Linked DNA regions of Coturnix japonica. The protein of the gene in region 2 purifies or fractionates together with the protein of the main gene of each other region. This does not show direct contact. Links are inferred from orthologs where the notes say so. Each region holds a gene or a part of one and is shown on either strand. Other genes may lie near its edges.

Evidence for each region.
Region 1: the proteins of TMPO (region 2) and CANX purify together in Homo sapiens (affinity purification with mass spectrometry; 3 studies listed by BioGRID and IntAct, with this or other methods). This does not show direct contact. The link is inferred for Coturnix japonica from reciprocal best matches to the Homo sapiens genes TMPO and CANX.

The regions. Positions count from the first base shown.
Region 1 is NC_029528.1:4,541,584-4,545,404, reverse strand, and holds part of CANX (calnexin), read right to left. Parts: intron 3,120-3,821; 5' UTR 3,117-3,119; coding exon 2,934-3,116; intron 2,477-2,933; coding exon 2,403-2,476; intron 2,018-2,402; coding exon 1,959-2,017; intron 1,617-1,958; coding exon 1,475-1,616; intron 221-1,474; coding exon 139-220; intron 1-138. UniProt on the Homo sapiens protein: Calcium-binding protein that interacts with newly synthesized monoglucosylated glycoproteins in the endoplasmic reticulum. It may act in assisting protein assembly and/or in the retention within the ER of unassembled protein subunits.
Region 2 is NC_029516.1:42,484,775-42,488,595, reverse strand, and holds part of TMPO (thymopoietin), read right to left. Parts: intron 1,491-3,821; coding exon 1,371-1,490; intron 1,272-1,370; coding exon 1,176-1,271; intron 624-1,175; coding exon 513-623; intron 1-512. UniProt on the Homo sapiens protein: May help direct the assembly of the nuclear lamina and thereby help maintain the structural organization of the nuclear envelope. Possible receptor for attachment of lamin filaments to the inner nuclear membrane.

The DNA.
Region 1 (3,821 bases), on a different chromosome or scaffold from region 2:
TGATGAGCCCAAAGTAGTTTGAAGATCAGGCCCTAAATATGCCCCACCGCCTTTACCAAAGTGGTTTCTCTAGAAAGAAAAAAGCTGTGTTGCTTTGTTCCATGGATAACACTCAGTATTAGTATTAGCAGCACTCACCAGGTTCAATTCAGGTGTTTTTGAAAGCAGTTTCACATAGGCCCCACCGCACTCTATTCCATTTTGGAAATTTACTTCATACCTTATTTGGACAGAGAAATGAAGAACACATTATACACAAGCAACATTTACCTTCATAATACATGAATGAATTTATACTTGAAAATTGCAGAGCAATACTATTTTGGTTTTGTTTGTTTCAAATCAAAAGTGAACATTAAAAACACATGCTGCGCTCTAGAGACTAAGCAGATGTTCAAGGGGGCCTGAGAAAAGAAGCAAGGATTTAAAAGACTTAACCTGACAGAAAAGATTAAAAGAATTGAGCATTAGTCTAGAAGATTATGATCCAGAAGTAGAGGGAAGAAAAGGTTTTTCAAGTATGTAAGAGACTGCAATGGAGATTAAGGGGAACAAATTATTTTCCACACAACCATTACAGCAGACAGACAACTCAATTTGCAAGATGACTGAAGTGAGCAGTTGGATCCTAGAAGATCTCCCCTTAGGGTTGCAAGCATACAATAGTATATTTAGAGATGCCAAGGAGTCTGAAAAAGGCAAAGCATGTCGGTCAGGAATAGGCTAAGCATGCTCAAACCTCTCTCAATGCCAGCAGCTGAAGTGAATGACCACTTCAACTTATTTTTAGCCACGCATTTTGAGCCAAAACTAAACAGTAACACAAAGTAAAGTGACCATTTCATTATCTTGTACAAATATGAACTGGATCACTGGCTGTTTATAACTGGTAACATAGGTAATATCCCACAATTCAACTGTTGTCACTGAAAGATTCTTTTCCTGCTTACTAGTCTAACATGCATGCAAGCAGATTCCTCTACATCACTCATGGCCCAACAGAATTAGGCAAGTTGTTCATCTTCCACAACAGATGCACCAGAACAAAGGAAGGCGGAAACAAGTGCACCCTTAACACTCTGCTCACTCCACCTTTGAAACTGGACACTTCACTGAATAAACACAGTGAGAAACATACAGACAAGCTCTTGGTGAAGTGGACATGGACTTTTACAATTAACAGAACAGGCAACAGATTTCTGTGCTAGTGAATGAGAAATTCAAGTCCAGAGACTAATTACCAACTCATAGACTACTTTTTTTGTCAGGCTGCAGTGGGGGCCACTGTGTTCCTAACTTCCCACTTGAGGAATCAAGATTGCTATTTTACTCCTACTCAAATTGTATAATGAGAGGTTACAGTCTATCTTGTGTCATCTAGACCCCCCAGCCAACAAAAGCTCAGTTACAAAATAAACCCAAGCCTACTACCACATCACACCCCTCACAGAACACTAAGTTATCTTTTACTTACTGTATAATAAGGGGCTTGGTATCAAATACAAAAGGCTTTGAAAGCTTGGATGAAATCGCATGATGTTTGGCTCGTGTTACCAACACAAGCCCTTTGTCTCCTGGAAGCTTACTGTCCTTCATGTCTTGGACTTCCCATTTACCTAGACGAAAATTAACAAAGTATTATCAAAACCCATTTGATACAATCTTGTCTTAGCCCAATCCTAAACAAGAAAGTCATCACCATCTTCATACAGGGTGCCTTCAAGTTACTGGGCTTAACATCTTCACTAAAAATTATTTTAAAACCTTTAAGTGGAAATTTTGTTTGAATCTTATCTGAATCAGGATCACACTTTATATTGTTAAGCATGTACACATTCTCCCATTTTCTTCAGTGAACACAATTTCAGGGAGCAAGAAGAACAGACTTGCACCTCTTCTTTATATAAGACAAAATGACATCAGAAACAACTACCAGTCAAAATATGGGTAGGACTCACCATCATACTTAGCAATTTCATCATCTGTATCATCTTTCTTGGCTTTGGAAAGGATCCATCTAGAAAACAAGCATCCAACAGTAAGAAACTCATACTTTTTCATTATGCACACAAAAACCCCTGCTCTTAAAATAGCCTTTGTTGTCCTGTGACTAAACCCCAAGTGTCTCGATCCTGAGCTCTATCCCAAACCTGCCAAGTTCTCAGCTTTATGTAGGATCACTCACTGCCTCAGAATCTGAAGCAAGTACACAAAGTCAGATGAGAAAGATTAAAGCATACATAAAATATGGGCTTCTCTTCCCATTATTACTAGTACCTAAGCAAAAACTGGTTGATCTTGTCACGTGTTGCCTGTTGATTTTCAGTAACAGGCACTAGGAATTCCCTTTCACATAATACTCTGATTTCATCTGTTCAGTTGCCCCCTAATGTTATACTCACCCATCCAGAGTTCCTTTATCAAAGGACTCTACAAAATAGACCTCGCCAGTTGGGACTGGTGCTTTGTAAGTAACCTAGGGGAGAAGAGAGGCATTTATGAACCTTTCAAGGCACATCCTCTAAAGAAGTAGAGGCACATACAGCTCACATCCCACATCCATACCATAAAGCACCTAGAGCATTCTGGCAGCATAAATACAGAAATGTTTACACTGCTGCTTATGCTGAGCCACTGTGCTCTCCTCTGCAACAAGAACTGAAGATTTTGTCTAGCTAGAAACTTTAACATTAATGCCTGATAACTACACCTCAGTTTTCAAATATTCACTGAAGTCTTCGCGAAAGAAGATGCAGGTCAGATGAGAATAGCAAGGAAGCAGCTAAGCTAAATTCCAAACCCTACTCCCTGCTAGTGATCTCTAACAGCATCACTATACATTAAGTTTCAGCAAAGTAAAGTCAACTCTAATCAGACTGACAGTAGCCAAAACACAAGAAGTAATTAAATGTTAAAGAACAACTATGCCAAACCTTTGGAGCTGGAGGAGGAGTGCTGCTTTCAGGATTTGAGTCTTCTACTTCCTCAACACCATCATCCAAGTCATCCTCAATATCAATGACATCATCACCATCATCGTCACCCACATCATGCTCCTGGGCAGCAAGAGTCCCAAGAGCTAGAAGGGTCACAAGCAGCAGCCATTTCATCTCCATTATCTGAATAAATACGAAAAAGAAAGAAGTTAAGCACACACACTAGCAATACACTACTTCTCAGTTGAGAGAATGAGCTTCTCTGGCAGTGGGTGAGGTGTCAAGTCACATCACTGAAAGAGGTACAAACGTAGCTTTCTCTGCTCTACTATTTATTGCTTCTGGCTGGTTAAGACAGGTGAGAAAATGGGAAAGGTATACAACTGAAAGGTGTATTTAATACAAAACAGATGTTAATGCACTGAAGCAGCACACAGACAAGCTCTGCAGTTTGTGCTGGAGTGCCAGTATTGTCCCTCCACTGCCATAGCCCATGAAAAGAGCAGACATGTCTTCAACACAACTTACGTATCTAGAAAAACCGAATGGGAAAATCCACTTCTTGTTTGTGAGAAACTTTGAAGGCAACAGGCTGACACTGGTATTCCTATTCAGTTCATAAATACCAGCTACCTCCTTCAAGCATCTACAAAGCAACCCATCTTCTACCTCAGTTCAGTCATTTTCTTGTTCTCATACACAGGACATCAGTACCTTCATCCATCAGTCCCCTTCCCCACACCTCCTTCTAGACAGATTGCCAGCAGTCACTGATGCTGTTCAGCAGGCATCTATGAGCAGCTGGATACTGAAGCAGACCCAGAAGAAATCCCACTGTTCAACAGGCCGTCAATTTCATCTCTAATTCAACAGGATGATCAAAGA
Region 2 (3,821 bases):
TTAGACATGTATCCAAATAATCTCAACAGCTTGAATAGGCTAACAGAGTATAAGAACAGTTTTCTTACTTGACAGCTAATAGAAACCTACAGTTGCTTTCTAAACTTTGACTTTGGATTTCAAGTAGTCCTACCACTGCAGTCCTTCAGTTGAGGCATTTCCCCGCCCAGGATATGCTGACTTAGCTAGATAATGCCACTCTTTGAACTATTCATGTAGTTTAAAAGAAAAAAGTACATTCTGTACAACATAAGATGAAATAATAGTCCAAAAGAGGATTATTTCCACCTTACAAAAACAAGGAAGGATAAGAAAAATAAAATAAAATAAAATAAAAATATGCATATATATATATACTCTTTTTGATGTCATATGACAACGCTAGTTTAGTTACAAGATCATGCCTCCTGGGCAACAAGACCCTCCACCCCTTCTATACTACAGAATAAATCCATACACATAAGAACCTTCTTCAAAGAAAGTAAGCAATAACAATCTAAGTTTTAATTTACTTCAGCTGTCATCAGTGGTTTCTTTGGTGTTCTTCTGGGCATGTCTGTGGGTTCACTTATTGACAATGTAGGAGCTGCATGCTTGAAATTTCCAGGCACCCTATTGCCAACCTGCCGAGATTCAAAATTGTTCAAACTCAGAATTAACCAAAACACAAAGTAAAATGGGGAAGGGAGACAAAACTAAGCAACATAACCCTTATCTGCATCAAATATGTGCATGTTAGTAATTCACTGAAAGTTATGTAACAGATACTCTGAAATAAGTAAAGGAAATACAATGCTTAGTCTAAATAGTTTATTTTAAGCCACTTAGAAACATAGAAGCTAATTAGTTCACAAGAAAAGCAAAGCTCTAAAGCAGATATTCTATATGTACTTAATTTAAGAAGAGATCTAAGCTTTTGAAGCAGATCTTCTCAGCCCTCCCCCCAAAAACATGAAACCATGTGTCTACCTAGTCCCATCTCAAAGTGAGCACCACTAGGCGCTAATATGCTATTGAACATATGGTTTCAAGACTACTGAATAAAAGAAGTCCTACTTTCTTTAAAAACAGCCTGTTTAAAACAATTCTGTCAGTAAAGACATATTATAAAAGGTATATTACAGAAAAAATACTACTTGTATTATTCATTAAATATATTTACTAAGCATATTTACTAGGCTCTCGTTGCTTGCAGTCAATATAGTTTCATCTATGGGAGTACTCTCTGACATAACAGCATCATCTACAGGCAACTGTACTGTAGCTTCCACCTGTTTGTTTAAAACAAAAGAAAACAGTTGAATAAAATAGCCACTGGGACCCTAATAGTGAAAAAAAATGCTTTTCTATTATAATAAGCCTCTCATCACCCTTTTCCTTGGTGTTCTTCTTGACACTCTTGTAGACTCCCTAGTAAATGCCTGAAGAGGTCCACTTTTTGAAGATCCACTTGTCCAGACAGTCTCAGTAACTCCATCTTGAGAATAAGTCTATTCAAGTATCAAACACATGATCAAATACATGAAAGCCAGTTCTCAACATTGGCTGCACACAACCAAAATAGCATATGTACTCCAGAACAAATATATCCAGAACTAAAAACAAAACAACCCCACACCAAAAACAAACAAAAGAAACCCAGCAACCTTAGATTCAGTAACATCCAACTAGCTACACAGGCACCGAAGACCTCAATACCTAGGTTAGAATTAACTGTTTTTTTAAATACTGAACCAACTAGATAATACCTAACAGTAAAAACTGATAACCTTCTCACTGTATGAAATAACCAATGCTTCAAGTAGTACTGCCAAATCAGACAGTGGATATGCTGACTTCTAGGCTTGTTACATTACATCCCTACAAAAAGAAGAAAACTTGTGATCACAAGCAGAATGCAACAACCTGCCCAACTCACAAACCTATTCTCTCCTGCAGAGAGTTCAGGCATAGACACCTGCACATCAACAAGATCTCATGTCCAGACAGAGGGAGATGTTTTTATAATCTTAGAAGTTTCCACAGTGATAAATGTCACTCACTTCTCCCTTAATTGTAGGTTAAAATGACCCAGCTTAAGACAGTTCATAGTAAACCCAAGTAATAGTGAAGTGTCAGACTTTCACAGCCAGTAGTAAATACACATCAATCCCCATAGCCTTACTGCAAGTTTTATGCTTAAATTAAAATCTTCCTCAAATCTAATTCCAAGCATAAATCTAGAAGGAAAGGGAGATGAGGGACATCCTGCTTCTTCTAAAATAGACCTAAGATTTTGTTTGTTTAATTAAGAACAATCAGAAAAATCCCTTGCTGATAACGAAGTCTATGTATCTCTTCCACTGGTGCATTATCAAACTTTTGAAAGCTATATTTGGTGTTGGCGGGAGTTAAACAGACCAGCACAGCAAATTAACTTCACTGGAAGAATTAGCCCACAAAACAATGTATTCAGAGAATAGGCTGAAGTGTACTTACCAAGGGGTAGAAAAGTACAACACCACCCTTCTCAGTTTCCCAACTGTATCTTTGAAGTTACTTTAGTGAAACTAGAAACTGAGCAGCTTTATAATTTTTAACTGAATTATTACAGCTACTACATAACCAGTAGAGGGAGCACAAGTGTTTTGCTATGCTTCAAAGTCACTGAGAGACTGATAACTGAACGATATATTTTTCGGAACAGATCTCAAGTCCAAATAGATTCAGATATTTCATACAGATCTATATATTTCAGCCTATGCCTCTGATACTCTTTCAAATTTAAACCGACTTTTGATTAAAGGTCTCCTTAGTCCCAATCTAGACATTCACTAGATACTAGCTTCTCACATCCCCCATTAAGAAAGGCCTAATCTGCAACATTCAGTCATGTCACTTACTATTTGAGGGTTCTTCCTCAGAAACTTTAGGGAAAAAAAATAGTAATCTCAGAGAAGTTCAACTCAAATTCAATTCAAGAATGCAACAAGACAAGCTCCAGAGGGAGCTCTCCATTATTAGTTTTACTAGGAACTTTTTTTTCCTAAAGAAATCTTCAGTAAATAAGAACCTATGTGCTGAGTTCCTCAGATGGTTGAAAGTTATGTCTTAAGTACCAGGGAAATCTTGCATGAAAAATACAGGAAATGACTGAGTGTACTGCATGAGTCCCATCCCAACTTCAGCAGAGCCTATTCCGTAGACCAGAATTGAACCACTAATAGACCACTAATTGAACAGGTGTCCTCTGCTTATCCCACAAATACCTGAAGTAAATAAACACCATTAAAGTGTAATATTCAGATTGTACCCTGGTATGCTGTCAGAAAAAGACACAATACTGTTTAGAAGTATCATTCAGAGAATGCATTCAACTGACACAGATAATGATATTACCTGAACTATCACTTGCGAACTAACAGTTCTATGCTTTTCACATGGCATACACACAATAGATGTATATGTCAGCAGCTACAACACATGTATTTGATAACCAGGAAGTCATTAGATTATAGAAAGAGTAAAGAAGAGTAGGGGAACACAGTATATCCAGAATGCCACTGCAGAAATGCCATAAGAGCAAGTAGTTCTGAGCTCTAAGGACTCCCTAGCATTCACATGGCTTAGTCCACCTCTTTCTCACCTAATATGTGGCCTTAAACTCACATTTTTGACCTCTAACTCTATATCCACCTTCCTGATTGAAAGAACACATTCAAAGTCAGTGTTTTCTTCCAACTTCTTTAGTTCACTATGAGGAGGCAATTAGGCACTAGGAGCAGGACTCAAATTCATCTAGTCCATTGCTGCTCCCCAGATGATAGGACAAGTCAATGCCT